Notamacropus eugenii: one gene and its partners. The protein of the gene in region 3 purifies or fractionates together with the protein of the main gene of each other region. This does not show direct contact. Links are inferred from orthologs where the notes say so. Each region holds a gene or a part of one and is shown on either strand. Other genes may lie near its edges.

Evidence for each region. The genes of interacting proteins can lie anywhere in the genome.
Region 1: the proteins of PTPN6 (region 3) and CD22 purify together in Homo sapiens (affinity purification with western blotting; 5 studies listed by BioGRID and IntAct, with this or other methods). This does not show direct contact. The link is inferred for Notamacropus eugenii from reciprocal best matches to the Homo sapiens genes PTPN6 and CD22.
Region 2: the proteins of PTPN6 (region 3) and CD72 purify together in Homo sapiens (affinity purification with western blotting; 3 studies listed by BioGRID). This does not show direct contact. The link is inferred for Notamacropus eugenii from reciprocal best matches to the Homo sapiens genes PTPN6 and CD72.

The regions. Positions count from the first base shown.
Region 1 is NC_092876.1:32,628,787-32,639,732, reverse strand, and holds the start of CD22 (B-cell receptor CD22), read right to left. Parts: upstream 5,070-10,946; 5' UTR 5,020-5,069; intron 3,721-5,019; 5' UTR 3,693-3,720; coding exon 3,659-3,692; intron 3,287-3,658; coding exon 2,921-3,286; intron 2,005-2,920; coding exon 1,696-2,004; intron 444-1,695; coding exon 180-443; intron 1-179. UniProt on the Homo sapiens protein: Most highly expressed siglec (sialic acid-binding immunoglobulin-like lectin) on B-cells that plays a role in various aspects of B-cell biology including differentiation, antigen presentation, and trafficking to bone marrow.
Region 2 is NC_092872.1:79,154,146-79,164,817, forward strand, and holds the start of CD72 (B-cell differentiation antigen CD72), read right to left. Parts: upstream 5,070-10,672; 5' UTR 4,925-5,069; coding exon 4,843-4,924; intron 3,761-4,842; coding exon 3,653-3,760; intron 3,374-3,652; coding exon 3,299-3,373; intron 2,587-3,298; coding exon 2,497-2,586; intron 885-2,496; coding exon 534-884; intron 1-533. UniProt on the Homo sapiens protein: Co-receptor of B cell receptor (BCR) that plays both positive and negative roles on B-cell functions. Recognizes the Sm/ribonucleoprotein (RNP) self-antigen ligand, and coligation of CD72 and BCR inhibits BCR signaling.
Region 3 is NC_092874.1:195,339,681-195,350,431, reverse strand, and holds the start of PTPN6 (tyrosine-protein phosphatase non-receptor type 6), read right to left. Parts: upstream 4,360-10,751; 5' UTR 4,337-4,359; coding exon 4,074-4,336; intron 3,916-4,073; coding exon 3,793-3,915; intron 3,545-3,792; coding exon 3,350-3,544; intron 870-3,349; coding exon 680-869; intron 58-679; coding exon 1-57. UniProt on the Homo sapiens protein: Tyrosine phosphatase enzyme that plays important roles in controlling immune signaling pathways and fundamental physiological processes such as hematopoiesis.

The sequences.
Region 1 (10,946 bases), on a different chromosome or scaffold from region 3:
GCTCTAGTCCTGGTCCATTTTTTCATCTCTCCCCCTCAAGCACCCCCACACATAGCCAAAAAAGCAAACAAAAAACAATAAACCATCATGAATAAGCTCCTGACCCTCCTCCATTCTGCAAACTTACTCCAAAGACTCTCTGATCCCTCGCTAAGTCCCCAACCCCATGATCAGCTCACATAGGACTTGCAGGTGCACGGGTTCTGATCTCCCCCGGCCCATTTCATTCTTTGCCTCACAACAGTAATTTCCAGTCTGCTGCCAGTTCACGTTGGACAGAGTCAGAATGTCATTCCAATTCTGCACTTCCTCTCCATCCTTGAACCAGAAGAAGCTGCCTTGGAATGTGGGGTTACTGCTTTGGAGCAAACACCTCAGAGTCACTGATTCTCCCTCCTTCACTTCTAGGTGGGGACTTGCCTCAATGGTTATCTTTGGGGTATCTAGAAGGACAGCAAGTAAATCAAATGAAAAGAGAATATCAGAAAGATTGAGGGAAGGAATTTATGGGGAAGATTCAAAGGTCTGCAATTTGAGAACCCTACAGGAGAGATCCACCCAGTCTACATGGTTACTTGTCACTTAGGGATGGAGAGGGTATGGCACCTGAAAGGATTCTCAAGTGTGTTTATAAATCTAAGTTCACTTTTCAGATAAGAAGACTGACGCTAAGAGAGAGGAAACTGCTTGCCCGAAGTAGCCCAGGTATTCAGCAGCAGCATCAAGAACTGAACCCTGATCTTGACTGCCTCCAAGTCTGCCATGATTCCCTGGACCAAGCTGCTCCTCAGAACCTGTAGCTTCCAGGAAGGAAGGCTCAGCTTAAGCATTAGCCCCTTGAGGAAGCCTTTCTTGGGGGCTCCCAGTTGCCAATTCTCTGTTCTCTCACCTGCTCCTGGATTTACTTTTCCTTGTATACATGTTGTATCATGCAAGTAGAATGGAAGCATCTTGAGGGCAAGAACTCTGTCCTATCTTTATCTGTATTTCCGTTCCTCAGACAGTTGATTCAAGCATGTTAACATGCAATTTATCAAGCACTTACTATGTGCTGGGCTCTGTACTGGGTGCCAGGGGCACAAAGAAAGGGAAAACCACAGTCCCTACCCTCAGGCTGATCACGTTCTAACAGAGGAGACCACAGGCAAACAATTGTGCACATATAAATATATAAGGGGTGAATGGAAGATGATCTCAGCAGGAACCCACTAGATTTGGGTTGGCCTAGACAAGGTCTGTTACTGGAGGTAGGATTTTAGCAGAGACTTGAAGGGAGCCAGGAGACAGTCGGTGCAAATGCAGATGGAGGAGAGATGGAGGGCCAGGGTGAGGAACTTTACCTGCTTAGATACTGACTGACCTAAACTGAATTGTACTCTATTGTCTATTTGCCTATCAGCCTTGGGCTGATATTAAAATGAGGCTCTGATCTCTGAGTTCAGCCACAGAGATAGACTAGCATCCTAGACACCACTGTGTGATGGGGAAGGGGGAGGAGGTAGGGGGAAGACAGAAGGAAGCCCTGGCGAGATACACCATTGCCTGTAGCTCATCCTTAGAGGTAGGTGATAGACACTTTTCTTACCCTTCTCTCTGGGCAGGCCATGCATGAAGATATTTAGGATTATGGAGATGAAAGTGATAGCAAAGCTCTTTCACAGTTAAGGAACAGGGGACCCACTTGAGGAGACTCACGCTTCACATCCAGCAAGACAGTCTTCTCAGAGAGATGCTGAACATCAGTGTGCCAGAGCTGGCAAGTCAGCCTCTTGCCATGATGAGTCCAGTTGGGAGTAAATGTGAATTTGCTCTCCGTCACAACCCTTTGGATTTCCATGGACTGTGAGTTCTCGACCTGGCCCGGTAGAACCTGCTGCCCCTCCAGGAACCAGTGCAAGCTCACAGGGTACTCAGAACAGGAGTAATTGAGGAAGCAGGTCACAGTTACTTTTTGGAACTCTTGGAGCCGCTGTGGGAGCTGAATGTGTGGTTGAGGTGCAGACTCTGAGGGAGAAAAGGAAGGAGGGTCTAGAAAGGGAGGAGGAAGGTTTCTTAGCTCTAATCTGAGAGGTTTGAAGAAGGGACCTTCATCCTGGGGCTTCTCTCAGAATCTCCTTCTGGACAGCTTCCCAATTACTCCCACCTGACTCCAGTCACCCCTCTGCATCATACAAGCAGTCACTTCTTAGAGGCTGCTTTGTAAGTATTCATAGTAATGGTAGTAGTGTCAGTAATAAAGGTAGTGCTAATAATCATTGTAACTGTGGTAATAAAGTGGGGTAACAGTAAGAAAAGAAACTTCCCATTTCTATCATGCCATTAAAGTTGACAAGACGCTTTGGTCACAAGAGCCCCAGGAGGCAGGGTAGTAGTGCAAGGAACTCCCCCAACCCAAACTGTTGGGGTTCCCTTGGCCCTTCTTGAAATGCTTTTTTATCTTTGTCCATGTTCTACTTCCTGCCCTTCCATCACTCCAGAATGGAAGATCCTTGAGGACAGGGAATGTTCACTTTTTCTTTGTGTCCCTCTTGCACAATGCCTGGCATACAGTAGTGCTTAATAAAGGATTGTTGAATTGGAATGAGTAGTATGCCCATTTTCTAGAGTGGGATGTTCTATCTACCCTTACTTATCTGTCCAAATGAGAATTCTCCAACGGCAAAGACTCTGTTCTCTATCAGACCATGGACTGCCCTAGGCCTGAGGACCTTCCTCTCCTGTCAGGCTCACAGCTGCTTGAGACCAGGAACTAGGTCATCTCCTTTTGTGCCGCCTTGCCAGAGCCCAGCACAAAACAGCTCGTGCTTGCCCAGTCAGCTTTGTGCAAATATTGGCATGCTTTGCTTAGAGAGTAGGAGCCATGAGCAGTGTACCTGGGCTTGCTGAGAATGCCCTTCTTCCCCTTCCCATGGCCCCTCACCAGTGATGTTGAGTTGTGTTTCTTCCATCCATTTGTCATCCTGGGTCGTCATCCTCAGCCCCAGCTTCCCACTGTCGTTGACCTGCACTGGACGGATGAGCATGCTACAGTCCTGTCTTCTATCGTATCCCAGAAACCGTGTCCTGTTGTTCTTATTAGAATCAAGCATGTCAAAGAGGATGGTCCCATGGAACGTCTTGTTCTTCTCAACATACTCCGGATTGAGGTACAAGATATATTGTTTTAGTGTTTCCGTGCCCTTAGAGGTCTTGTAGCTGCAGGGGATCTGGACACAGGTGCCTTCCCAAGCATGGAGGACCTTTGGTAGCTTGACGTCCCAATGACAGAGACCCAGAACCAGGAATCCTGGGGCCCCAAAAGGCAGGCAGAAGAGAGAGGGAGGGAGTGGGGTCAAGAGAGAAAACAGATTCTGTTTGGGGGATAATGAGACAGAAAACCCATGAAACAGATAGTATACACAAAGACTAGGCCAAGAGGGAAAAACACATACCCGTGCGCACACACATACACACACATGCACATGCACACACACACACGCACAACCAAGCAGAGCCCGTGGAGAAAGAGGAAGAGCACAAGAGACACAGTTAAGAGCAGTTTCCCTGTGGACTCTCCTATGAAGGTAGCTTCTTCCACCCCCATTTCCACATCATCCTCTTACCTAAAACCTCCCTCCCTCCTCAACTCCCACCCCTAGGTACTGGCAACAGTCCTTACCAAGAGCCAGAATAGAAAGGTGAAGGAGGCTCATGATGCCACCTCGGGCCTGGTCAGAATTCCTGAAAAAGGAAAATCAGTTCTCAGGTCAGTCAAGAAAGTCACTTATTTTGTTCAGGATGCATTCCTTGGTCACTCCCATCCATTCCTGATCATCGTTTTCCTCCACTGTTTTCATTTGTGGTTGTGGGGCTCTCTGGGTTCATCACTCTTTGGTATGTTTGAGGGGGCATTCCTGTTTATAGCTGTGTTTGTAGATCTTGTCTCTCCTTTGAGATTGGAAGTCAGGGAGAAGACTCCTTCTCTTGTTTTCTCTCTCCCCCATGACCTTCGGTCTAGAATTCTGCACAGGGAACACTCATTCTAAGGTGTTGACTCACAAAGTTCAAGAGATGAGAGAGTAAAAGCATGATGAGGAGGGCCCACCCCAATATCTATTTCACTTTCTGAATGCACACATACTGCTTTTCTTGTCCCTGATTATGATTAACATTTGCATAAAGTTAAATTTGTCTCTATTTACATGGCAGGTGCCTTTAGCATGGTCCCTTGGGGAATGACCAGGATGTGCTGATAGAGTGTGTCTCCTGTCACATCAGATTCACTCTCATCTCCACCCTTTTTGCCTTCCCCCTGTGGTTCCCCTTCTAAACCTTGTAAAAAAAAAAAAAGGAGCTGGTATGGGACTGGTACTGAGGCAAAGTAGGCCGGCATGGGTACAAATAAGAAGCTAAAAGCTGGCCAGTAGGCTGTGGGGGCCAAGGCTATGCTTTGGAATAAACAGAACTCAAAAAGTTAGAAGTGGAGATTGGCTAGAGAAGCTAGATGTGACCAAATCTTCCCGCCTCCAGGGCTCCCACAGTGGATTGAAGCTGAGAAGCCATTACTGTGGTTCATACCACGGAACCACAGTAATGAGTATAGTTCTCCATCATTAGACCCAACCTCAACCAGCAAATGCCATCCAGCTCCCCAAAGTCCTCAGCCCCGGGTCAGGTCGATCCCTGCCTTACCCTGGTCAGGAACCTGGCTCAGGACACCAGGGTGAGAAGGAAGGACAGTGGACTACGTATCCTTGCTTGAGGTGACCAGAAAGTCTCAGGCTAACTACCATTAAGGGGTGCTCCCACCTTAGTACAGTGATCAGGGGAGAAGAGACAGAAGTTGGGGATAAATCAGAGCCCACACATGGAAGGTTTGTTGTAGTCCATGTTAAAGTTTCAGGGTAGCATCAGGGAGAGGGGAGTGAGTGCTGACCAAAAATGGCACTTGGCACTTGAACAGGACTACGAGGAAGTCTGGGAGGAGGCCAGAGAGGAAGGGAAGGTGTAAGATAAGGAAAGAATAGGGTGCCTTTTTACCTGCTTCTTGTACATCCTCCGTTTCTCCCTCCTTGGGGGTGAGAACAGCCTCAGTGAGAAAGAGGAAGTTCTTTGCTTTTTACATCTAGCCCTGACCTGTGACTCAGTCAGTCTCCTCCCTTGTCTTGAGGGGCTAGGGGTAATTGAGAACCAATCTGAAAGTTTTAATGGAATGAGAAGAGAAGAAAGTGGGGGTGAAGAGGAACAGCTAATTTACTGAGATACAGGTCTTGGTTATTCAGCTGATGGATTGTACAGGACAAAATGTGTTTAATGTCAGCTCAGTTACCTCTGGCCACTGCCTTCCCCTCTCTACCAGTGCAACTCAGGAAATTAAAATCCATTTCAATACAATCTATAAACCAAGCAAATTTCAAAGGCCAATGTGGTTTTTAAAAACCCTGAAGTCAAATAGAAATTACATTGTGGATTTGTTGTTCTTCAGCCATTTCGGTCATGTCCGACTCTTTGTGTTTGGAGTTTTCTTGGCAGAGACACTGGAGTGGTCTGCCATTTCCTTCTCCAGCTCATTTTACAGATGAGGAAGCTGCAGCAAACAGGATGAAGTGACTTGCTCATCATCACATAGCTAGTAAGTGTTGGGTGTCAGATTTGAACTCTGGAAGGTGAGTCTTCCTGACCCCAGGCCCAGGGCTTCATGCACTATGGCGCCACCTCGCGGCCCCACTGTTAATTATCTGCCATTTAAAAAGTATCCATTATCCCCAGAACAAAGAAAAAAAAAAAGTAGAAAAAGAAAAAGAATGAAGTAGAATGAACTGTTTCAGCTGGCAGTGGCTTCTGGGCCTTCAAGCCAAGGCTGGATGGCCATTTTTCAGAGGGAACATGGAAGGGATTCTCAGTCAGGGATGGGATGGCCTTTGTGTCCCTCCTAGCTTTGAGATGCTGACAGTCTCCTCCATTTGAAAAGATAACTGAGAGGTTGGTGGTTGGTGGTTTTCATTTTCACATTGACCATGAAACAAAAGTTTCTAAATGGAGAGGACATCTTGTACTGAGGGCAATTTGAAGAAAAAGTTTTTACAATAGAAACCCCATCATTCATCAACACCCAGATCAGTGTTTCTAAGTGGAGACAAATTAAGGTCAAGTTATGCAGATCCTACTTTTTTTCTGCTCCTTTTCATTTTCCCCTCCCCACAAATGCTACCAAGAAATAATGAAAGAGAATGGGAATTGTGATGGGATAAGCAGTGGGAAGCCAGTGGTTGGGGAGATTGGTTTCATCCTCCTTGACCACTGCTGACCATCCTTCTCCCTCTTCCTGGACACCATCTTCTTCTTGAATTTTCATGACTCTCTTTTTGCTTGATTCTCTCACTTTTCTAGCTTCAAACTTTACAGACACCTGGGGCATCACCATAGTGTAAGGTAAGATGTTTTTTCCCACCCCTGTCAATCAGGAAATCCTAGACAGATAGATTGAATGAATCTATTTAAAGTGTAACTAGGTGTGAATAAAGCCTTAATTGATTTGGGAGGAGGGAAGTGCTTTAATCATTGGATAAAGATGATAGATGATACTACATTTTTTAAAAATTATCTTGTGATTGGCTGAAAGAATCAGACATATCCCTGTTTGGTTCAGAACTGTGCATTCCAGAAGCAGGGAGTTGGATGGTGGTCAATTCCAGAAATGAAGGACACTTGAGAGGGAACTGCCCTTTGCAATAGGGAAGAGGGAGTTTTCTCCTTCCCAACACCACTGACCGCCTGGTAGTGACCTTGGGAACCTCAAAAGGTCAGAAGAATTCCCACTGGCATCAGGCAGCAGTAAAATCTGAAGGCAGAACCTTCGTTGGACAAGGGCAAACTCAAAGCACTAAGGAAAGGCAGTCCCAGGACCCTCAGAGCCAAGTAGAGAGAAGGAAAACTTCATAAGAACTCTACAGTGACAGGAACCTGGAGCTGGGAGTTTTCCCTTTGACTACAAGTGAGCTCTTAAGTGTGAATCCACTCTTTCCAACGACCTTGTGTATGCAATGCATGGACAGAGCTTGCCCCAGTTAGGGAAGGAGGATGTTTCTATGACAACTATGCTTGCTATACCTGTTTAGTAAATACCCTTTATAAAAGATAATTAGCTCTGATCAGCAATCAATGGGAAGCACATTGTTGGAGGCTTCTATGCAACAGTACTAGAAAACTCAGCCCCTTAGGGTTATCCCTAGAACTCTGATGGGAGGAGCAGAGCAAAAGTTTAACTAGAATTCCTAGAAGAGAAGTAAGAGATTTGGGGGTTTTTTTTTTAAGCTAAACATGATTTTAAATGAAATGAGAGTGCTAGGGGAAATGATTGGGAAAGAAATGAGAATTGGAAAGAGAATTAACATCTTGGCACAAGAGGTACACAACCTGAACTACACAACAGACTCTGAAAATTGAAATGAGCCAAAAAGTAGTTAATGATTCCATGAGACAAAAAACATTGCAACAAAGTCAAGAGATTGAAAAAGTACTAGAAAGTATAAGATATCTCCTATCAAAAACAACTGACCTGAAAAACAAATCAAGTGGAGAGAATTTAAGATCATGACTTGATTTGCTAAACCTTGGGGATACAAAAAAGGCAAAAAGACAACCCCTGTCTACAAAGAGCTTACGTTCTACTGGGAACAGCAACAAGTAAACAAGTACATGAATTATATAATTATAAATATGTATATATTATAAACTATATTACAAATGACAGAAGTTATAAAACACATAAAAGATTTATGCAGAGTACTGGAAGACATCTGAAACAGAAAAACAGTAGCAGGAGGAACGGGGAAGTGTCTCCTAGAGCAAGTGGGATTTGAACTAAGTTTTGAAGGAAATCAGGGCACCTAAGAAGCCTAGGGTGAGAATGCCATTCAAGGAGTGGGAGCTATCGGAAAAGCAGAGAGAGCCCAATGGAGTGTTATATTCAAGGAACTGGGGATTCACCTGTAGCCCAGTGTTGCTGGAATGTAGACTGTGTGGAGGAGAGTAAGGTGTAAGAAAACTGTGAAGGGAGGAAGGGACCAGGTTATGAAGAACTTTAAGTACTAAACAGGGGTCACATAAGCAACAAGATGGCACACAAGACGTTATCTCTGATCCACATACCTTCTCAGACCTCTCCAAAACAGAAATTATGTGCCAAATATAAAGCAACTTCAGCTATCTCTAAGACACAGAATTCAAAAGAAAGTTGAATACAGAGAGAGAGACAGAGGGAGGGAGAGAGAGAGAGAGGAACTGATGACTCACTGACCCTGAATTCACTCAGTAGTACTCCACCCTTGCCTCCCACACTACTAGTCATGAGACTTCACTAGCAGACTCAAGGACACTGTACAGGCTTACATCGAAACCCACTGTCGCACCCTGGTCCCGCCTTCCTCTTTCCTGAACTATGGAGACCCCAGGTTCTGGCTGCAGAAGTTTGCTCTGTCCTCAACAGTTAGCTTGGCCACACCCATTCAGGAGCAAAAGCCTACTAGGGTCTACAAACTTGGAGTACCGGTGCTACAAAACTCTGAATTTACAATGCCAGGGAAAACAAACTCTAAATTGCTAGTTCCAGACCAGAGACCTGAGGTATGGAGAGAGCAGAAAGGTCACCAGGACAGGACACCTTGCATGTGGGGAGCTGTGCAGTGCTCCACCAAGCTTGAGGAGAGAGCACAGCATCCAACTAGGGTTAGTTCTGACCACTCAAAAGTCATTTAGGCCAGGGGCTTATGTTGTTGAAATGTGAATTGCCCATTATAGGTAGAAGTTAAGACACTTTGACATCTGGCCTATGGTCAGAGGGGAGAGAGCCAAGAAGTGAATGATAAGGAAAATAAAGGGGAAAAAAGACTGAAAGTACTACAGATTTCAGTAAGAAGAAAACTTAAAGACCTTGAACATAAACAGATAAATCAATGGGACAAACATTAACAACAGAAGGAAATATGGCCTCCAAAGCTAGTAAATGAGTTCAAGTATGTATGAATAAATTCTGCAAAATAAAGGAAGATGATCCAATACTTGATGAGACAGAAGAGCCCATGAAAGTTGAGAAGAACATGGAATCACAACTCACTGTTCCTGAATGGTTTAAAAGAGAAGTGACAATTATGAGAGCAGAATTTGTGTCCTGCACAGCAAAAATAACGAACAGACTTAAATCTACAGTGGAAAGCCTCATAAAAGAAACAAAAGAGAGAACAAGAGATTGGGAATGCAAATATACAGATGTGAAAGACAGTCTAGAAAAAGAGAAACAAAAAACAAGAGTGTTAAGAGAAAATATGCTCACAATGCAAGTAAAATATATTAAACCCAAAGACAGGAGGCAAAGACACAAGCCAGAAAAACAACAGGAGACAAAACCTTAACACCCTCATGAAGGAAATAATAGAAGAAAACTGCCCAGAACTTCTAAACACAGAAAGTGAAATTCCAATTGAAAGAATTCACAGATTACTTCCAGGAGAGAAAAACAAGCCACCGAACTCAAGGCTGCACATCACATGTAGTGATTAAATTTAGCCATTCAATTCTGAAACAAGTTCTTCAAGTCATCAGGAGAAAGACCTTCAAATATAAAGGAAAGGACATTTGAATAATGCAAGACTATTTCTCAGCCACTAGAAAAAGGAGGAAATAATGTATTCTGTCCTGTAAATCTGAGCCTAACAACACAAAACAAAAGATGGATGCTCAATAATAAGAAAAGTTGGAAATGTTTTTAGAAAAAACTAGAACCAAAGAGATTATTTGTCTCTTGGACACCTCAAACAACATAAATACAGGAGGGGTGAATAAATGCAGATAGCAACTGCAATGAATGACAACAGAGACTTCTTTCTAAATGTATACAAGGAGCCAGGGATGAAGATGGAAATCTGGTAGAGATAACAGTGAAGAAGACTACAGGGGAGCATTTTGAACAGAACCTGGAGTCACCCTGCCTACAGGTGAATGTTTCTCTTTGGGACTACCTTACAACATGAGAAGATACAAAACAGAAGGAGAAGAGCAGGGAGATAGAAAAAAATGACTGGGATCAAATGCAGAGCTAGAAGTGAGTGGAAGGTGACTTCTATGGTCCCAGAAAGAGAAGAGCCTAGAAGGGAATGGGTAAGGAGAAGGGAAAGATTGAAAGGGGGATGGAAGAGGAGGCCTTACTTTGGAGATGAGAGGAGTCCCACTGATGAATACCCCTATGGGTAAAGAGAGATGATCAGTGAAAGAGATGAGACCTGGGAGATTTGGTACTTGAGAAATCTACTTTTCTTGGGAGGGAGAGAGTTTGGAACCCCTGGGGGCAGCTGGCATCTAGAAGAGTGGAAAGAGCATGGACACAGGAAGGAAATTTCAGAGCAAATGTAGGAAAAAGGTCAACAAGAGGCTTTAGATTAGTGGGAGGGCTGCATAACTAGGGATACGGTGGAGGAGGGGTCCTACCATGGGCCAGTGCTCTCCCTGACACCTGTAATTGCTAGCATCATTCTGGAAGTGAAGTACAATGGGAAAAGACAATCTTTGGAGGTCAAGTCCTATAAAGCAGTGACAGAAAGGGACTGGAGGACAGAACCTAGAATGGATCCCTTGGAAGCTTTGGTTGCATGAAGAATACAGAGAAGAGAGAGATCAGATAATTATAAGAGTCATGAATCAGAGAATGAGGGTCTACAGTAGACAGAAAGAGAAGATGGATAATGAATAGAGTGAGAGAAATCATTTTTGGAAAGGCGAGCAAAAAAAGTGAAATTTTTTTTTAAAAAAACCTAAGGAACAGGACTAGCTGAAAGAAAGGAGAGGAAGGGGGAATATCAAATGAGAGGAAGGGATTAGGAGTGAGGAGAAGAGAGCCAGGAGGATCAGGATCACCTTAAAAAAAGGATTAAATCGACTGAAGAAACCTAATACTATGTCTACAGCAGAAGAGG
Region 2 (10,672 bases), on a different chromosome or scaffold from region 3:
CCTGGATGGAAAACCCTTCCTTTCCTTTATGACCGTCTAAATCTTACACATCCTTCAAGGTCCAATCAGTGAGAGTGGTAAAGACAAGGAAAAGTCCAGGGAGAGGGCAAAGAAAGAATCACCAAGGTTGAGGGGCTGGTTGCCAGCCAGATGGCACCAGTCTATTCCACCCATGTGACATTTGTTAACATTCTGCCCTGTACTAAGTAATCCATCTACTTGCTCTTTTTCTCACTCCCCCTAAACTTTAAACTCTTAGAAGGGCAAAGACTATGTCATGCATCTTGATGTTCCCCCCAGTACTTAGCATGGGATCTTGCATACAACATGCTCAGATATTAAATGAATGGATAGGGAAATATCAAAGATTATTTCGAGGTTGAGGTTAAAGAGTTATTCTAACTTCTAATCTACTTTTTTTATCATTACACCATACTTTTGTCTCCCCACATGTTCTCCACAGTTGTCTTGCTGGTCCCTTATCAGCTCCACCACCAACCTCCCTTTCCCTACCCATCCACCAAACTTCATACCGTTACTTCGGAATGGACACCTGAAAAGGGTCTGAACTTTCTTCAGCTCATTCTGCAAGGTTTTCAGTTTTTCTTCCAGGTTTCTCTTCTCCTCCATATTGTCCTTCAGGTTCAGTTCTGTCTTATTCCTTTCCGACCTGCAGGTCAGCAGGTAGCCCTCAGCAGCCTGGTGCTGTTCCTTTTCTACCTTCAGGTTCTGCTGGGACTGGGCCAGCTTCTCCCAAGCAGCCTGCAGATCCTTTTCCTTCCTTGACAACTGGATAGCCCCCATTTGGAGCTGCTGCCATAGGCTACCATTGCTGACCTCCAGGACCTGTTTGGTGTTTCTAAGCTGGTGAGATATCTGCATATCTTTTGGACACAGAAAAGCAGGGAGGGTGAGAAAAGTTGAGTTCATGGTTTCTACAACCTTATAGGTATTTATCATTTTTCTCTACCTGTTTCTTGCAAACTTCAAGACAACTTCCCTCTTTCAGCTGCTTGTCTCACCAAAATTGGGTTATGAAGTTCTTGTGGGTTTAATCATGAGGGTTTAAGGAGCTAAAGGCTGAAGAAGGAGGTGGATCTAGGAAAGCACAGAGCTATAGGGACCACTCCCACAATAGACATTCATAAGGCACCTGCTATATATAGAGTACCATGCTAGATGCTGAGGAATGTACAAGGTTTAGCCAAGGCATGGCCCCTGCCTTCATAAATCAATTGCTAATGAACTTATGGAATTATAAAATGGGGCAGGCACACCTGGTTCTTTGGGTACACACCAGGAAAGACCACAGTGGCAGTGGGAAGTAAGGCTGCAATCACACTTTAATAAGGCACAGAAGACATAGGGAAAAATGGCATAGAAAGTACAGAGTGATGAAAAAATCAGAGGAGAGGATGTAAAGGCAGATAGCAGAAAGAAGAGAATGGGGAGGGGAAAAGTCACAGAGTAATTTACATCACCATGGATTCAAGGTAAGAGCTCTAGGTAGCATGGACTCAATGGAGATGGAAAAATGCTTGGTGGAGGGGAGAGAGGAGTTTGAGGTACCATTTTTATAGATTTTGTGGGGGGAGATAGACTCTCATACCTGTGCCACTTTGAAGTTAGTTCATTAACATATCCAAATCACCTCAAAGTTGTCGTTAAAACTTTAACGTTAACATATCCACACCTTTGCAAAATTATCAGCACTATTGTCTTAGTGGAGATGTCTAGAACTTATCGGAGACTAACACATCATAGAACTCAAAGGCCCCGCAAAGCCCTGATTTAGCACATATTCCTAGCATGTGATTGTTAGTTAATGTATGATACGGTTTACAAATCATGCTCCTTTGATCATTGGGACAATCTGTACATGACTTCCAGGTTCCCCTTCGTAATCTTACTTACTACTATTACCACTGTATACTGGCTACTTGTAAGCTTATTCATTATATGAACCAGGAACAACTTTCGAAGTTCTCTCAGGAATGTAAGCGAGAGGTGGTTGGTGATTCTGGCAGAGGGATATATCTCCGGAGAGGCAGAAAAGGACTAGAGATAGGGAAACGAGAGGTTTTACATCCCTTCCCAAACCATCCCCATTCAGGGTGACTATTAAAATAAGTCACCGGGGGGGGGGGAGTGAATAAAACCAGGAGAAAAATTTATAGCAATAACACTGTAAAAACAATTTTGCAATGACTAAGAGCTCTGATCAATGAAATGATCAAGTCTGATTCCAGAGACTAATGAAGAAGAACGGTGAGAGGGAATGGACTCGTGATGGAGAATGAGACATATATTTTTGGACATAGCCAATATGAGAATTTATCTTGCTTGGTTATGTATATATGTTTCAGGGTTTTATTTTGTTTTGTTTGATGGGGGTTAGGGGAAGAGAAAAGGGAGGGAGAAAAAAAGAATGCTTGATAATTGGGGGAAAAGAATTTACTATTTTAAACATACGCTACAAGAGAGGACCATACTCACACTGAATGCCCAGGCTGATAGTAGCAACCCCCAACAGCAAACAGGTACCTAGCAGGCTCAGGAGAATGTATGGTATCCAGGCCACAGGGCCTGAGGAGAGAAAAGTTGGTATAGTAGGCCAGTCTGTGTTTGGGGAGGGTGTGGAGGTTTACAGGAAAAAAAGGGATAGTTTTAGAAGGGGTCAGTTATAAGGAGGGAAACCTTATAGGGATAATAAGGGTATGTGGTAAAGCCCTTTATAAGAAGGGGATTGGGTTAAGGTACTGGTTTGGTGGGCATTGTAGGGAGGGAAGGTGTTTAAGGGAAAGGATGATAGGATCAGGACGAAGGTAGGGTAGGTGCTCTTATAAGAGGGGGTCATTATGTGACTGAATTTTCACCCCCAGGACAACAGGGATCATCTGTACTAGGCTTTTTCTCCTTTTCATCATCTATTCCCACCTAGTACTGGGCATCGAAGGATCCTCTCCTCCATCTTTCTTCCCCTGGCCATTGCAGTGCTCCATACTCTAGTCCAGCTCTGCTAGAGGGCAGTCTGGGGTGTGTGTTCCAACTGCTCATACCCTAAGGATGGCCCCAGAGTACTACTAACTACTCAGTCCTAGAAATCCTCTCCTGAGGTCCAATGGCCTGTGTTTTTAGTCATCGATCTTCCTTTCTTTTCCTGCCTTTTTCTTTCTCTTAAAGGCATCTCCTCTTCTTCCCCTGCCCCAATTCTATGTGTTTCAGGATTTCCCTGCCCCAAAGTGCTCCCACCCCCAGACTCAGACCGGCCCCAAAGTGCTTGGTGATTATTACTTACAGGGCAGAATCCTCCTGGCAATTGGTGATGTCACTGAATAAGGTGCAGTCACTGTCTTTTCTGTTTTTTCCCCTCCTGGGAATAGAAGGGTAAATTCATCTTCAAAGTATCCCACCATGGCTATCCCTCTATTTCTGAATCTCCCTCATCTCTCTAACCACCTCCCTGGGTAGTCTCATTTCCTCAGGGACATGTCCATCTCCCTTGGCCCTAACTCCATCTTCCCCAGGTATACCCAGGATCCTCTCTCTTCTCCCCTCTCCCTAAAATCCCTAGGGACACCCTAACACTCCTCCACTCTAACCCTACATGTTCTCAATAAGCAGTCCCTTCAGAATCTTCTGGAACACCTACCTGTTTGTCCCCCAAGTCCAGGCTGAGTGGGGCTAGAGAAGCCATCCTTGGCTGAAGGCACCTGCACATTTTCATAGGTGAGCTCTCCATCCTCATCCACCTCAGGGTCTGGAAGAGGGGGGAGAGAGATGAGGAAATGGTTAATTAGGCATGGGGTCAGTATAAGGGGGTTAGTCATTGAGGAGTGTTGATCAATGATGATAATGGGGTCAATAGTGTGTATGTTCATCCTTCATTGCCAAAGAAGACCATGTCATCAGAGATATGATGACATGACTTGTACTTGACTTTGTTTTGAGTGAGGGAGGGCTGTGCAGGTCACCAGCCTCACTTCTCCTCCAGCGCCATCCAGTTTAAAATTAAATTATTAAATTTAATCATTAAATTATTAAATCCAGTGAGCAGATATTCCTCAGGATGACTGGAGATGACCCAGGATGAGGCAATTGGGGTTAAGTGACTTGCCCAAGGTCACACAGCTAGTGAGTGTCAAGTGTCTGAGGTGAGATTTGAACTCAGGTCCATCCTGACTCCTGCACTGGTGCTCTAATCCACTGCACCACCTAGCTGCCCCAAGGGGTCAATAGTAAGATTTAGGGGATGGGACCAGCACAGGAAGGGTAATTAGTCATTAAAAAGATGAGGCAATGGCATAGGGGTGGGAGATGGGTTAGAAAAGTGAGGATAGCATATGGGAAAAATCGCTGACAATGAGGCAGAGTCAGTGTGGGGGCATCAGTTAGTAAACAGTGTGTGGTGTCAGCATAGGAGAGTCTGGTCACTGAAGAAATAGATTCATCAGTGTATGTGTTGGGTAGGAGGCATAAGTCAGTGACCAGGGCGGGGCACAGGGAGAAATGCCCAATCAGAAAAGGATGATCAATCAATCAATAAACATTTATGGATTACAAGGAGATAATGGAAGATTAACTATGTGAAGGAGGATGGACTATAGGAAAATGGTGTCAGGAAAGGATGATGAACTATAGGGAGATGGTATAAGTGAAGGGGCATGAAGTATTGGGAAATGGAGTTAGTGAAGGGAAACTGACTATAGGGGAGTGGGTTCAGAAGAGATGGGGCATAAAAGGAGTCAGCTTCAGAGAGGGGAGAATACCAGGAGGATGGAGATCAGAGCAGGGGATAGTATCAAGGCTGTGTTAAGGTTGAGAAATTCCAAGGACTCTTACCCTGCTTCAGCCTAGCCGAAAGGGTCTTCTTCAGAGGGGATTTCACAAAGCGAAGATCTGCATAGGTGATAGATTCAGCCATGGTCCTGAGTTCCTTACTGTCCCTCCCCTCCAAGCCTGTCCCTCCCTCTCTTCCCTTTTTTCCCTTCTTCTCTGTCTCCCTTTTTCTGTGTGCCCCCTTCTCCTTATCTGATCCCCCTCCTTCCTTGCCCCCTTTATGTCTCCTGCCCTCAGTCCCTCTGAGGCTCTCTGCCCACTCCCTGTTGAGAGCATGTCACACTGCACAGTTCTTTACCAGATGATTTTTAGTCACAAAAGAGGAAGATATTAGAAATTACCACCCCCATCCCCCCAGCTGGAGTCAGTAAAGCAAAAACTGGGGTCAGCTCAGAAATAGAAACAGGGTAGGGTTAGTGATAGGAAGGGAGAGCACAGGGGATGGAAAAATTGAGGCTCAGGGGAAGGAGCAGGTTCAGAGGGACCAGAGGCAGGGGAAGGGGAAACTGAGGCTTAGAGATGGGAACAAGCTTCCAGGAAGCCTTCCCTGATTAACTTCATTCTGTCCTACTCTGACCACCCATATCCACACCCACCCCTGCCCACCAATGCCTCTTACTCTGTATTTTCTGAGCACTTAGGGACTCTAATCTGTCTCCCCAGCATATAGACAGACTCAGTCTATGGGTAGTTATAGGGACCATGTCATCAGACTTGAGGGTCCCCAGGGAAATGTCTGTGTCTTTCCAAGCCAACTTCCAAAGAGGGAGACTCTTCCCCCCACTTAATTTCCTAGGATGGTGTTATCAGAACAAGATTTTCCTCAAAGTTGGGAACCATATTTCCCATTTTTCATTATGACTCCTCCCACAGGATTATGTATGCAGAAGGTGCTTAATCAAAGATATTGGTTTACTGACTGTAATGGTAGTTCTGTGTTTGCCAACACCCAGCACATGCAGTCTCCCAGGTCAGATTCTCAGGGATGTGAGACTAGAATCCTCCAGGTATTTGGCACCTTGCAAGGACTCAGAGGACCAAGGACCAAGTCGTCCCCCTCTAGCAATCCTGCTTAGGGTTCTTTCCTTCCCCATCTCCCATTTCGGTCATGCATGAATGGTCTATTGACAGTCAGAGATAGACCGGAATTTAAAGATCATTTCTAGACTAACACTTTCATTTTGTAGGTAATGAAATTGATATTCTCACTTAAAGTTGCTGCTCTGGTCCTGTCACTTCACTACCCTCTATCCAAAAGAGGTTCAGGATGCTAGAATTGGCCCCCAAGTGTCCTACTCCAGGTTCTCAAGACTAATCAATCAACCATAAAACTTTATTAAAAACCTATTAAATCCCAGGTGATCTGCTAGGTACTGAGAAAACAGAGAAAAAAATAATTATTTCCTCCCTTCAAGGAGCCTATATTCTATTGGAGAATAACCCCTGGAGTGGAAGAAATTGTGTACCTAAGAAGTGGAGGGGACTGTCAGTCATGGGAATGGGGATAAAAGGGATGTGAAAACAGCCTCAACGGTTTGTTTCTGAAAGTGAGAATATAGTCACAGAGACAGAGATACAGAAGTGGGGTAACAGGGGGTCAGCGATGGGAAAAACCCCACCCCCTTATTGGGTTGTCCCCCACCCCCATCCCCTAGGCTCCACCCTTCATGCAGCTGTGGAGAGGGAGAAGGAAGAGGAAAGAGATCATGATCACATCTAAACAACATTTTAACAAGTGACCAATCATGCATGGGACTTTGACAGGTCCTGATAAATGCCTCTGAGTGTGTGTGTGTGTGTGTGTGTGTGTGTGTGTGTGTGTGTGTGTGTGTGTGTATAATGTATTAGACTTTGTCCATGTCTAAATATACACAAAGCAATAAGGTTTGCCCCTACATATAAAAAGGCTTTGGATCTCATCTCCCTTGGGAGAATGATATCACTCTGGGGAATGGTAGCCTCCACATGTAACATGGTGGGGGTGGGGTAGGGTGGAGGGGACAAGATGTCCCTATATGGAATAGAGTGAAACATGTTTAAGAAGACACTGGTGTAGGTATGTAAATAGGACAGTAATGAGTGAGGGAGTCAGGGGAGTCCCACCCTCTGTAAACATCCTTACCTACCTACCAGTAAGGGGCTGAAAGGAGAGATGGGATGTGGGGCAATGAGCATACCAATAAAGGAATCCAGAAGGAATCATGTAATCCCTAGGGAAGACAAATCTTTCTCCCTGCTCCATCCTAGGATGACTCATATCTGCCCCACGGAGCTTATCCTCTAGTCTAGAGTGTGTGCATTAAAAAATTCTCTTCTGGTTATAATCTCTTTCTATTTACACTCCTGTATGTCACTTCAAGCTGACCAATGGATGTGGTCATGGAGTGCTCCAAAAGATTTGTTACCTGTGGATGGGACACTAGAAACCATTGCTTTCCTGCCTCTCCACTGGCTTCTCACTAGAGGCTGGACTTACCTCCCACTTTTTTTAAATTTAATTTTATTATTATTTCTTTAATGTTTTACAATCACTGCCATAAAATTAAGATTTTATCCCCCCTACACCTACCCCCCACTACCCCCCTCCCTCCCCACGACACCATACAATTCTGTATAGATTCTACATATACTTTCCTATTGAGTACATTTTCACTATAGTCATGCTATGTAGTCAGACTAAAATAAATGGAAGAAATCGTATAACAAATCAAAACATGATACACAAACACACATACACATACACACAAACATGATCTGCTACATTCTGCAAATGACTTCCATTTTTCTTTCTCTGAGTATGGAAGGCGTTTTGCCTTAGAAAACCACCATTGGGATTTTTTTTTTAATAAGTTCTTGCGTTATTACAAAATTCCAACTCTACCAGAAAAAACTCTCCCACACTGTGGTCATAGCTGTGCACAGAGTTCTCTTGATTCTGCTCCTTTCACTCAGCATCAGATCATATACGTCCTTCCAGCCTCCCTGAAGTCTTCTTGTTCATCATTTCTTATAGCACAATAGTACTCCATTACATTCATATACCATAATTTATTCAGCCATTCTCCAATGGATGGGCATCCCCTCGATTTCCAGTTTTTGCCCACCACAAAGAGAGCTGCTATAAATATTTTTGTACATGTGGGACCTTTCCCATTTTTACGATCTCTTGGGGATACAGTCCTAGCAGCGATATTGCTGGGTCAAAGGGTATGCACATTTTTGTAGCTCTTTGGGCATAGTTCCAAACCGCTCTCCGGAATGGTGATGAGCTCACAGCTCCACCAACAATGAATTAGTGTTCCAACTCTCCCACATCCTCTCCAGCATTTATCATTTTCTTATTCTGTCATGTTTGCCAATCTTATAGGTGTGATGTGGTACCTCAGAGTTGTTTTGATTTGCATCTCTCTAATCAAAAGTGATTTAGAGCATTTTTTCATATGATTATAGATATCTTTAATTTCTTCCTCTGAAAACTGTCTGTTCATATCCTTTGACCATTTATTAATTGGGTTACCTCCCACTTTTCTCAGACTAACTGGTTTCCCCCACCTACCTCCATCTGCATTGCTTACATAGATATGCAACAAGGGTTAATGGCTATATAATTTCTCTTATATAAAGGGGAACTATACCATAATTAACAAAACAGCAAAAGGGAGGCTGTTCATTGGATGTAGAGTGATTGGCATGAGGAGCTTCTGACTATGGGAGCAGAAAAGGGCTTTTCTGCTTAGATTTCTCCCCCCATGTGGGGAGGAGAGAGAGGTAGATCTTAAAGGTGCTGCTCAGTTAGAAAAGTAGCATATTTCTCCAACTCAAGCAGAGGAGATAATATCTCTGGGGGTTGCTAAGGTTATCTCACCATTCATTGTCCTTATCAGGACCACAGACACCATCAGTAGTTACAATTCGGTGGATTGTCATTGTCCCTGTAAAGTGAAGACCTCGGAAGAGGCTATCTTTAGAGGATATAAAGGAGTTATCACTTATTCTGTTTGGTTCTTCATGGGTCAAAATGGCAAATGGGCAAATTTAGGCTTGAAGGAAGAAAAAGTTTCCCAACAATTAAAACTATCCAGAAGTGGAATGGTTTACCTGGGAGGGCAACAGTTTCCCCTTTTACTGGAGGTCTTCAAGCAAAGACTAGTTGACCCTTCATAGAGTACTTTGTAAAAGGGGACTTTGTTCAGGGATATGTTGGAGTGGATGACATTGGCGGTTCCCTCCAAGTAAATTCAACTAGCTTACATTAACTCTGGCACTAAGCAGTGGGGATATTAGGGGACAAAAAGAAAGATAGTCCCTACCTATGAGAAACTTACATTTCAGTAAGGAAAAAACAACACATAAAAGAAAGCTGAAAATTGGAGGGAACGGGATGTATTGAGGAAGGCGTAATGGTGGAAGAAGAAGTCTGGAATATCATGAATAGGTCCCAGAGAGGAATGAAGGAATCAACATGGTTAGCCTTCAAAAGGAGGTTTCAGGAGGAAACAATCATTCCAAGGAAGGGACCATGGGGGTGGAGGGATTTTCCCATATGAGAAGGCTAATGGAGTACAGAGATAAAGGCAGCATCCAGGACAAGAAGGCTACAGGAGCACAACAGCCAAAGCAGCTTCCAGAGCAAGGGAGACCCTGGAGCTTTGTGGAGAAAGAAGTCCAGAGAGTCACAAGTACACTCCAGAGAGGTATGGAGTAGAGATTCCATCTTAGATTGGAAATCTGAGATTCTGTGATAGGGTTTCTCTCAACTATAGATATGGATATGATGTGACAGTAACATTTTAAGGGTCTCAGAACACTGGAGGATATGAATGTGTAGGTGAATGTATAATAGGAGCACATGTCTGTGTGACTATGTTTCCCTAGATTAGCAACCTGTCATCCTTGACTCTCGATAAAATAAACCTATATAAATCATCAGCATTTCTATATATTACCGACAAAGTCCAGCAGCAAGAAATAGAAAGAAAAATTCCTTTTAAAATAACTGTAGACAATATAAAATACTGGGGAATCTAGCTGCCAAGACAAACCTAGAAACTACATGAACACAATTACAAAACAAAAATTTCTCACACAAATAAAATCAGATCTAAACAATTGGAAAAATATTAATTGCTCATGGGTTGGCCTAGTCAATACAATAAAAATGACAATTCTACTCAAATTAATTTATATGTATATATTATATATAATTATATTATATAATAAAAATATATAATTATAGAATATATATTATTGATTATACCAACTAAACTACCAGAAATTGTTTTATAGAGTTGGAAAAAATAATAATAAAATTCACCTGGAAGCATAAAAGGTCAAGAATATGAAGGGAATTAATTTTTTTTAAATATGAAGGAAAGTGGACTAGACACGCCAGATCTCAAACTATATTATAAAGTAATAACCATCGAAATGATCTGGTACTAGCTAGTAATGAGTTGGAGGATCAGTTAACTAGATTAGGCCAGAAGACACAGTAGTAAATAACCATAGTAATCTAGTGTTTGATAAACCCAAACATCCAAGCTTTTGGGAATAAAAACTCAGTATTTGACAAATACTGCTGAGAAAACAGGTTGGTAGAAATTAAGTACAGACCAACATCTCACCATATAACAAGAAAAAGTCAAAATGGGTACATGGGTACATAAAGGGTGATGCCACAAACAAATTAGGAAAGCATGGAATAGTTTATTTCTCATATCTATGGAGAAGGGAAGAATTTATGACCAAACAAGAGATAAAGAATATAACTAGATAACATAAAATAGATAACTTCGATTACATTACATTAAATTAAAAAGCGTTTGCGCAAACA
Region 3 (10,751 bases):
CACCAGGTCTGTGAGGCTGTCAAAGGTCTCAGAACCACCTACTGTGTAACGGCCAGACTGAGAGACCAAAGTCAAAGGTGTGACAATGGGAAATGAGAGGAAGAGAGAAGGAAGACAGAGAAAGTACCAAGACCTCTCCAAGCTCAGCCTATAACGGCAAGCCTTCTCCTTGATCTCCTCCTCATCTCCCTGACCCCTAGTAAAAATCCTGAAATCTAATCCCCCCACCTCCCCATTTCCTCTTTAATCAGGGTGGCAACACCCTGGGGGTAAGACATAGAATTTTCCTGATGGTTTTTTGAGACCACATCACCCTTCATACTTTTTCTACTAATCAATTTGTTTTTCGTTTTCAACATTCACTTCCACAAGATTCCAAATTTTCTCCCCATCTCTCCCCTCCTCCACTCCAAGACAGCATGCATTCTGATTACCCCTTCCCCCAATCTGCCCTCCCTTCTATCACAACCCCTCTCCCCTTCTCTTATGCCCTTCTCCTCTATTTTCTTGTATGGCAAGGTAAATCATACTCTTTCTAGATGAGAATATGGGGATCTCTGACCAACCACCTGGTACCCTGGGGATGGGCCCCTCGTGCTGTGTAGCGGCTATCCCTAATCATCTTCCATTTGCCCAGTTGCCAACTCTCATCCCCTCCCTGCCACTATGTTCATCTCACCTCACACATCACTTTGATATGAGTGACCCTGAGTGGGGAGCCCAGCCCAGCCTTGGGCTGGTCACTGAGTACAGACAGCACAAAATCACCAGGTTGACTCAGACTCTCACGAACCAGAAACGTCCAGGGTTCACCTTTGGCCTGAAGTAGCGTCTCAGCCTGGGCCCCAGACATGTGGCCATGGTACCACCTGATGGGATAGAATAAGAGAGAGCAGCAGAGCCTTGGGGGGAGAAATGGGTTTGAAAAAAAGGGAAACTCAGACCCAGAGAAAGGAAAAGAGTCAAGAAGACAAAAACTGGGTGAGACTAAGACCAAGGAGAAACTCAGAGACAGAGAAAACACCAGATTAGGAAACAGAGATGAGGACACGAAGGCTGAAATAGAGATGGTGGGAAGCAGGCTAACAGTGAATCTACAGGCAGAAGCAGTAGATTCAACAACTTAATAAATGCCTCTTATTAAGCATTTTCTGTGTGCCAAACTCATAGTAGTCTCTGTCAAATAAACAGAGATTAGGAAAGACAGGAAGTCACATGAGAAAGAAAGTCCTGGGAGACAGCCCAGGGGAGGCTGTTGCTAAGAACGGAGGGGGGTAACATGAAGGACCCCAAAATCCCATCACAGTGGAGAGGAAAGATTGGGTGCTGCAGGGTTGAGAGGTCAGGACAGAAAGCAGAACTGGAACCTTTCCCCAACATCCCCCCAACTCTCCCCCCTCCCAACCTGTTCCCTAGAGGAAACAGTTAACCCCAGGGCTGCCCAGCCCCACAGGAAAACACGTGATGGAAAAAGCAAAAAAGCTCCCTTTGGGGAGAGAGTGAGAAGTGAGGTTTCTTCAGCCTGGGGGTTGAGGGGGGGTAGAGATTTTCCAACCGCAGGGATGATGAGGTAGGAGGGGGAGGGTAGGACAGACAGTAAGAAAAAGAACTTAATTTTTTCAATGCTTGTGCAGAGAAGGCCAAGGCTTCAGTGACCACTGACCTAAGGACCCAAAGGTTTTCTTTCCAGTCTCCAGCACCTAACCCTACTATTAAGCCAAGAGAACTCTACTCCAGAAGTAGGCCTGGTCCTCCAGACTGAAAAGGAAGGGGCTCTAAAGTCTGGTCCCCAACCTCCAACAACCAGAGGAGGAAAGTCCATGCAAATACTGACTTGCCCACAGGCTAGTAATCAAGTACAGAGGGAACAGATGCAAATTCCCCAGGGAAACTACTTCGAAGAGAAAGGAAAGGGAAAGGGAAGGATAACAAGGAAGGTTTGTTGGGGTGAATTTCTTTTTCTACACAGAGAGTACAGAGTACTCCTCGGGACAATTCAGACATACCCGTTGGGGAAATGGGGAGGGCGTGACCAACCACTCACAATCATCTCTTAGAAGGTCTCCCTTGGTTTGGTCTTTATTAAAAACCAGTGCCTTCACTATCCCCCAATCCATGGCTCTACTGGTTTTTTTTAATTCCCTTTCTTGCATCCTTTGACCCCAGTCAATCTGCCACTATCATTCCCATGACTGACTCAAACTCTTCTCTCTATAGTCCCTCCATATCACCCACTGCTTCTGGCCTTCATGACTCCCTCAGCCCCTGTGTCCTGAGTAGATCTTAGATTGGGATGGGAAGAAGGACTGAAGGAACATGGTAGGTGAAGCAGCAGAGAGGGGACACCATGGAATTACCAAGGAAGGAGGAGAAAGTTGAGGTTGGGTACTAAGTCTGAAACTTCCTAAAAAGTAGTGAGAATAGCTATATGCATTCTCTAGGACTGTTCTTAACCCTATCATGGTCAATATTTTAAATCAGTGACTTGGAATAGTGGCTTAGCTTATCAACTTAGCTAGTTGATAAAAATATATGATAATATATAATATCATAAGAACTGACATGAACAGTTAGTATGAACAGGATTCAATATGCACTGACCAACTAGGTGCACAAGAACAGGACAGGCCAACATGGTTTAGCAGAAGTTAATGTGAAAAGAACTGAAAAGATATTTCAGTTGATTGCACACTTAGTGTCAGAATCATGAAATCTTAGTTTTGGAAAGGATATGAGAGGTTTTCTAGTCCAACCAATAACTAAACACAAATGCTTTCTACAATATACCCAACAAATGGTCATCTGGTCTTCCTCAAAGACTTCCAGTGACCAAAACACTGTTTTTGAAAATCTAATGCAAAATTAACAGAAGTACAGTGTTCAGACTGAGGGAGGAGGTAGTTCCTCTGGTCAGGCCACATCTGGCACTCAGCTCTAGGAGCCACATTTCATAAGGGGCAATGATAAAAATGGTCTGCAAACCATGTCGGATGACTAAAGACTAATGTAACTGGGGATATTTAGGCCAGAGAACAGAAGGCTAAAGGAGAAGATGCTGTCATGTGGGAAAAAAAATAAATGTATTTCATGTAGATTCAGATCACAGAAAGAACAGTAATAGATGGAAACTACAAGGTGGATTTTGGCCCAAAAGAAAAAGAACTTTCTAGAAAGAACCAGAGCTGTCCATCAATGGAATGCCTTCATCTGTTGTAGAAGGGATTCTTGCATTCCTGATGTTACTATTACGCTCACCTCTCCTTAGGTTGAAGACCCTTATTAAGAGTCCAGGGTCAAGGCTAACCTCCCCTCTGAGTGGGGTTAAGGAGTTGGGGGAGGGTTGCCTCACCTCTCGCTGGTGGGGTCAGAGCAGTTGAGTGGGTATTTGAGGTGGATAATGGTGCCATCACGGTCCTGTAGGACGCCTTGCTGTTGAGTGTAATATTCCACCAGTTCTGTCAATGTAGCAAACTTCTCTCCTCCATAGAGATCATAGAAATCCCCTGAATTCTGGATGCGGATGTGGGTCACTTGGTCTCCTACCCTGTGGGACACAAACTAGGAATAGTGAAAATGGGAGCAGAAAAGGAAAGGGGAAAAGAAGGCACAAGGCTAGAACAAAACCAGAGGGTTCAGGCAGGGAGCAGGGAGCAGTGTGGAGGTCTGAGGCTTTGATTCATGGGAGCGCTAAGGGTCATCACACAGGACTGGGGAGGTAGTCTGGAGGAGACAAAGCCAAGGAATGAAGGGCACAGGCAGAGTCACCAGAGAAAAAGGAAGAAAGTCACCAACCTGACTGAGAGGGAAAAGTCCCCTTGGTTCTTTCGACTGGGCCGGGCCAAGAAACTCCCATGGACCCCACGGCCCTTCAGCAGAGTCTCAGCATCCAGCCCGCTGAGATCTCGGTGAAACCACCTGTGGAAGAGAAGCTGCAGCTGGGGACTAGGGCCACCAGAGGCCAGGACAGGTGCTGTCCAGAGCCCAAGACTCAGTCTCCCTTTTCTAGATACAAGAGAGCACCTGCTCCCCTGAACCAGCTCCTCCCCCCAGCATCCTGCACCCTCGGTCCTTACCTCACCATCCTGGGAAGTCTTCCTGCAGGGTAGGCTGACGAGTGAGGAGGGAGGACAGTATAAACAGGGCCCAGGACAGAGCCCAGTCCCTCCTTGCACTGGCCCCTAGCTCCCAGAAGCACCACCAGTCCAGGGCAGCTGAGGGGGGGAGGCGGGGACAGGAAGGGGCGAGGCCAGACCCCCCAGGGGGAACTTGCTTCTACTTCTGCTTTTGTAGACAAGCTGAGAAAGCAGAGCCTTATGGTGGTGGTGCTGGGACCCATCTCACAGGAGCGTATAATTTCTTAACACACGAAGCATGTCGTGCGCATATATACACATGTGTGTGACAGCAACAGAAACATAAAGACAGACTTATGCGCATACCTGGTCACAAAGATCACACACACACACACACACACACACACACACACACACACACACACACACACACAAAACCTCCCACGCAGGAGCATGCTCATATGTAGAGAAGATGAATTCATCTATGACTTCTAACACTTTTCTCCTCCCCTCCTGACAAATTCTCCTCCATCTTAATTGCTTCTATGGGGTGAACCCGGTCCCAGCCCAAGCTTGGAAAAAGAAAGAGAGTCCACTGGATAAAAGGTCATGCCAGAAGGTAACCTAGGCTCCAACTCCCTAGGGAACAGAGAAGCAGGGGCGTGATAGAGCAGGGGAGAGAAGAGGATATCCCGGGGCAGGGCCTGAGAATAGTGTTTGACAAGGAGAAAAGCACCAAAGAATGGAAGGAGAAAAAGTGGAGAGGATGACCCCTGGTAGTCTTTGGGGTAGAGCGCTGGTGTGCTCCTCACCTATAGGCCAGGCTAGAAGACTCCAAGAGAAGGGAAGCTTTGGAACAGAGGGCCAGGTAAGTCACAGAACCCTAGAACCCTGCCTTCCCTGTCTCCAGTTTCTGGGCCACCTGCCTCCAGTCTGCCAGGGGGTGGGGGGGCCTAATTGTTTCTCCAGCCTTCTAGCTTGGCATCCTCTCCCTAAAGGGCTCTCTGTGCTGCCAGAGAGAAGATGGTTGGAAGCCCAAGAACCTCTACAGGAGAAGAACAAAGTTTGGGGGCTCCCAAAGGTTAACAGTCATTTTAATTACTTATTTTAATTTCTGCCAGTCATTCTTCCCAAAGCAACCCAGTGAAATAGAGCTCTAGCTTTGGAACCAAGAAATCTGGGTTCAAATTCTAGCTTTTACCGCCAACTTCTTTCTTTCCTTCCTTCCTTCCTTCCTTCCCTACCTTAGGCAAGGCTACTTACTGTTACTTACTGGGACTTGCCTCTCTGGGACTCACTCTCCTTACCTACAAGATGAAGGAGCTGGATGAGTGATATGATATATAATCCTCACATCCAGACTAGGTTCTCCCTCCTCACCCTGGCCCCCTGTCCTGGAACTCTTAGGACTATGGGAAGGATATGGCCAATCACCAAATGGTTAGGAAAACATAATTCCCACCACTATCAAGGGGACTCCAGTCTGGGAGAGAAATTGACCCAGAGCATCTCAGGTTACAGGGAGACAGGCAGGCCAAGGAGATTGGGACAGGACACCAAAGGCTCTCCATTGCTTAAGGACAGAAAGGGAAGGAAAGGGAAGGGAAGTGTTGACTTTGAAGGACTAGGTTCTTCCTGGTGAGAAAAGAGGCAGGCTGGGAGCACACACAGAAATTCACATACAATACTCAGATATCTACACCAATATCCCCATCCCCATTGCCAAACATTTGTGGAGCACCTGCTACTATATATAGACCTGAACTACCTCCTGATGCTAACAACTTCCCAGTCAATAAGCATGTGTTAAGTGCTTATTGTGTAGTGCTAAGGCCCAGATACAAAGAAAGGCAAAATGACTGTCTTCATGGAGTTCACATTCTGGACAACATGGAAACCCAGCATGTACATTCAAGGCAGATGTCAGGTAACCTCAGAGGGAAAGAGGCCAATAGCTGAGGAGCCTGCAAAGGCCTTTGGTAAAAGGTGGGACATAAAAAAAAAAAAAGTGGGATATAAGCAGAGACCTAAAGTAAGCCAGGGAATAAAAGGTAGAAGTAAAGTAGGAGAGCTTTCTAGGCAGGTTGACAATAGGGGCAAAGACAAACCAAAAAAAGAGAGTTCAAGAAAAAACAAAGAGTTCACAGAGTTAGTAAAAAGCGTTAAGAAGGTAGAAAGGCAACCAGTTATAAAGAATTCTAAAGGCTGAAAGGGAGGATTTTATTTATACTTGATCCTGGAGGTAATAGGGAGCCACTGGAGTTTATTGACTGAGGGTGGGAGGTGGGGATGATATGATAAGATGTGAACTTTAGGGAAATCACTTTGGGAGGATGGTTTGGAGTGGGACTTGAAGCAGGAAGACCTATTAGAATTCCATTGTAAAGAGTCCAGGCAAATTCTGGAAAGCAATCTGGAACTCTGCCCAAAAGTTACTAACTGTACGCACCTTTTGACCCAGAGCTAATACTATAAGACTTATGTCCAAATGAGCAGGACCAAGAGAACATTACATACAGCAACAGCAGTATTGTTTTAAGAATGACTGAGCAAATCAGTCATTCTATCATTATAAATACTCATATTAACTATAAAGGATGAAGGAAGACATAGTCCACATCCAGAGAAAGAACTGAACGTTGTTTGTACTTCATTCTCGAAGGGGACCATGACATCAAGGAGGTGATGCTATGACTTGAAAGTGAATTAGATTTAAGGGAGGGAGGACTGTTCAAAGTCACCAGCCTCACTTTCTCCTCTGGAACCATCTGGGTCCAAAGGCCAGATATAGATAAGGACAACAGGAGATGGCCCCCAGAAGTATGCATAGAATAATTATATACACACCACACACCACACACACACACACACACACACACACACACACACACACACACATACACACACACACAGAGTGATCATCTCTGGGGGAAGGAGGGAAGAAAAAAGAGGAAAAAAAGAAATTTAGATGATAACTTTGTTGTATATTTAAAAGGTACAGCAAGTTATATATAGTAATTTGCAGTTTCATGCGTAATCATTTTTTTATTATACTATACCATGGAAATATTGGTTTTATTCCATAAATTAAAAATGAAATAAATCTTAAAAAAGAAATCAAAGAGATGTAAAAGTAAAATTATCTATAAAATTTTAAAAATTGCAATTGATTATAGCCTAAAAAAAAAAGGACCCATACGCACAAAAATATTTTTAGCAGTTCTTTTTGTAATAGCAAAGAGCTGAAAATTAAAAGGAACTCATCGATTGGGGAATAGCTTAAACATATTACAGTATATGAATGTAAGAATACTATTTTGCCATGAAAAATAATGAAAGGGATAGACCTGTATGAACCTGGAAAGACATATGAATTGATGCAGAACAAAGTGAGGAAGAATCAGGAGAAAAATATTTATAAAAACAAGACTTTCAAGACAACTTGGAAGGATTTAAGAACACCAACCAACTCAATCACTATCCATGATTCCAGAGAACCAAACATGCTTCTCATCTCCCAACAGAGAGGTGATGGACTCAAAATGAAGAATGAAGCATTTTTTTTTTTTACATGACCAACAAAGGAATTTGTTTTGCTTAACTATGCATATTCATAACAAGGGTTTTCTTTTTCTTTCCCTTTCAATAAAAATAAATGCTTATTAATTGAAAAAAAATACCAACAGTCGAGGCAAGAAGTGATGAGTGCCAAAACTAGGGAGATAACTGTGAGAATGAGGAGAAAGGAATGTAGATAAGAAGTCTTGTAAAGGTAGAAATGACACAATTTGACATATTGGATATTTGGATGATAGGAAGAAGTTGAGAATGACATCAAGGTGTCAAACCTGAGTGATAGAATGGTGATACCTTTCACAGAAATAAGAAAGTTGGGAAAAGGGAAAAACAATTAAGTTGTGTTTCAGACATCTTCTATTTGGGTTGTTAGTTGGAGACGCAGGACTGAAGCACTGTCCAAAAGGCAGTTAGTGAGTGATTCAAGACTGGAGCTCAAGAAAGAGATTAGGGCTAGATAAATAAATCTGGTAATCATCTCTATGGAGATGATAAGTGATGAGAACACAAAGTGAATGGGCCCAGGAAAGAAGATTGGGGAAATACTTTTTATTTATAAAATAAATAAAGGATATTTGTAAAGATCCAACAAAGGAGACTGAGGATTGGTCAGAAAGGTGGGGAGGAGATCCAGGAAAGGGGAGTGTATAAAAAACTAGAGAGAATTGAGAATCCAGGAGGGTGTTTGGCAGTATTAAAGAGGGTAGAGTGGTCAAGAAGGATGAGGATTGAGAAAAGGCCATTAGATTGGGCAGTTAAGCAATCTTTGGTAATGTTGGAGAGAGTAGTTTCACTGAATGATGAGATCTAAAGTGAGATATGCAGAGAGTTTAGAAATGAGTGGAGAAGTGGAGGCTTTGGTTAAGAAGGGGAGGAGAGATATGGGACTATTGCTACCAGGGATGGTCATATCAAGTGAAGATTTTTTTTTTAAGGATAAGGGAGACATGTCCATATTTGAAGACAGTGGTGAATGGCCAGTAAATAGAAAGGGGAACTGTGACGATTAGAAAGATACTGGGGATGATTGTGGGAACAATCTGCTAGAGAAGACCAGAGGGGATGGTGTCAAGGACACATGTAGAGGGTCATCCTTGACGAGAAGGGCTGTCTCTTCATGCTAGTGGTGAAAGAGGAGATAGTGGGGGGAGATGCCTTAGTGATCAGAGATGACGAGGGGATTAGTGAATGGTCTCAATTTTTTTTTTTTGGTGAAATATGAGGTAATATGAAATATGAGCTGAGGAGAGGAGAGGAGTGTGGCAAGAGACTTGAAGAGGGATGACAAGCTTTGGAACAGTCCAGGGAGTGAGTGGAAAAGTGAATTGATTAGGGAAATCATAAAAGGATTGCCTTTCTGCAGTGAGGGCCCAGTTGAGGTTATGCAACATTTATAGTCCATCAGGCAAGTAGGGGCCAAATTGTAGAAAATATAATTTCCTGCCCAAAAAGCATCCATGACTCCCTACTGCCTCCACAATCCAATGTAAATAGATCAAAAGTAAATTACTCAAGTATAAACCCGTCTCTAGCCTACTCATCCAAGCTCCTCACACATGACTCTTCTTAACACACTCTTCCAGTCCAGTCAAACTAGACTTTTTACTCTTCACATTTAACTCATTACATTTCGTCTCCCATCTTGGGGTCTGGGATACACTTTCTCACCTCCATCTCTTACAATTCATAATTCCCTTCAGAGATCAGCTCAAAATGGGGTTCTTTCCTGATCTCCCCCACCCTAGTTGCTAGAACTAACTCCTTGGGGGAAGAAAGGGAAATTAGGTTTAATTTGAATGTATTTTACATATGTCTCTAAGTTGTTTCCTCTAATAAAACAGGATCTTTGAGTCGGAACTTCTGTTCCTTCTGTCTTTGCATCTCCAGCCTCTAGAGTCCTTTGGCTAATTTATGGAAACTCTGGACTCCTCAGAAGAACGTTTTTAAAAATATAAAATATATAAAATTACAAAAGAAGTATAGTTACTCAAAATGATTTTTTTTAAAGTTCAGGGACCCTAGGTTAAATTCCCTTACACTGGGAAAGTAATTAAATGCTTATTGACTGGTGATTCTGTAGGAAATATACAGTGTCAACAAAGATTTTTGAGGGGAGGAAGAAAATATCCACAAAGCAATTATTTCAGAAGGTGGAGTAGGTAACTGTGTATATAGGATGCATAAGGGGAGAGGGAATAAGTATTTATCTAGTGCCCACTACATGCTGGCCCTTTACCAGTATCTCATTTGATTCTCACCACAGCACTGTGAGGTAGACGCTGCTATTATATACCCATTTTACAGAAGATGAAACTAAGACAAACAGAGGTGAAGTGACTTGCCTAGGATCTCATAGCCCGAGGTCACATTTGAACTCAGACTTTCCTGACTGGTTCTGAAGCGCTATCTCCCATAGCTGGCTCTCTAAAAAGAGAAAAAAAGACTGAAGGCAGGGAAATTGTTTGAATATAATCATGAGAGAACAAGGAACTGAATGATAGTGGGTCATCTGATCTTGTTCTGATCTTGGGAGACAGTGGAGAAATGTGAAGAATTTATAGACTTTTCTAGGTTCCTTCAGGCCAAGTTCTTCTTGGTAACATTTTTATATTTTTACAGACTTCTTCCAGCACTTATAATGTGCTATGCATTTAATTAGGTGCTTAATAAGTGTTTGTTGATTTTTTAAAACAGACACTGAAAGGAGTTAGTGTCACTGCATTCCAGGCCCAGAGGAGATGCGTGGAATGACCAAAAGAGGAAGCTAGTTTAGGGGACAGTTCAGGTGGAGGTGTCCAGGAATCAGTTAGAGATGTTGGGAGATCAGAGCCTGGAAATATAGATTTGAGGGACTTGCCAAAAAAAAAAAAAGAGGCAAACGTTACCCAGATAAGAGTGAATGGATGGATGGATTATGGCTTCCAAGAAGAAACTGTAGAAAAATAAAATCAGGAACCTAATGCTTGAGTCCTGAGAAGCACTCACATTTAGGGAAAATAAGAGGAAGTGGTGTGGGCAAAAAGATGTCACAGAGGTGGAAGTTACCAGAGGTAGGATATGTATCTCCCCTCTCCGCCCTAAACTCAAGGTGAGCCAAGCTTG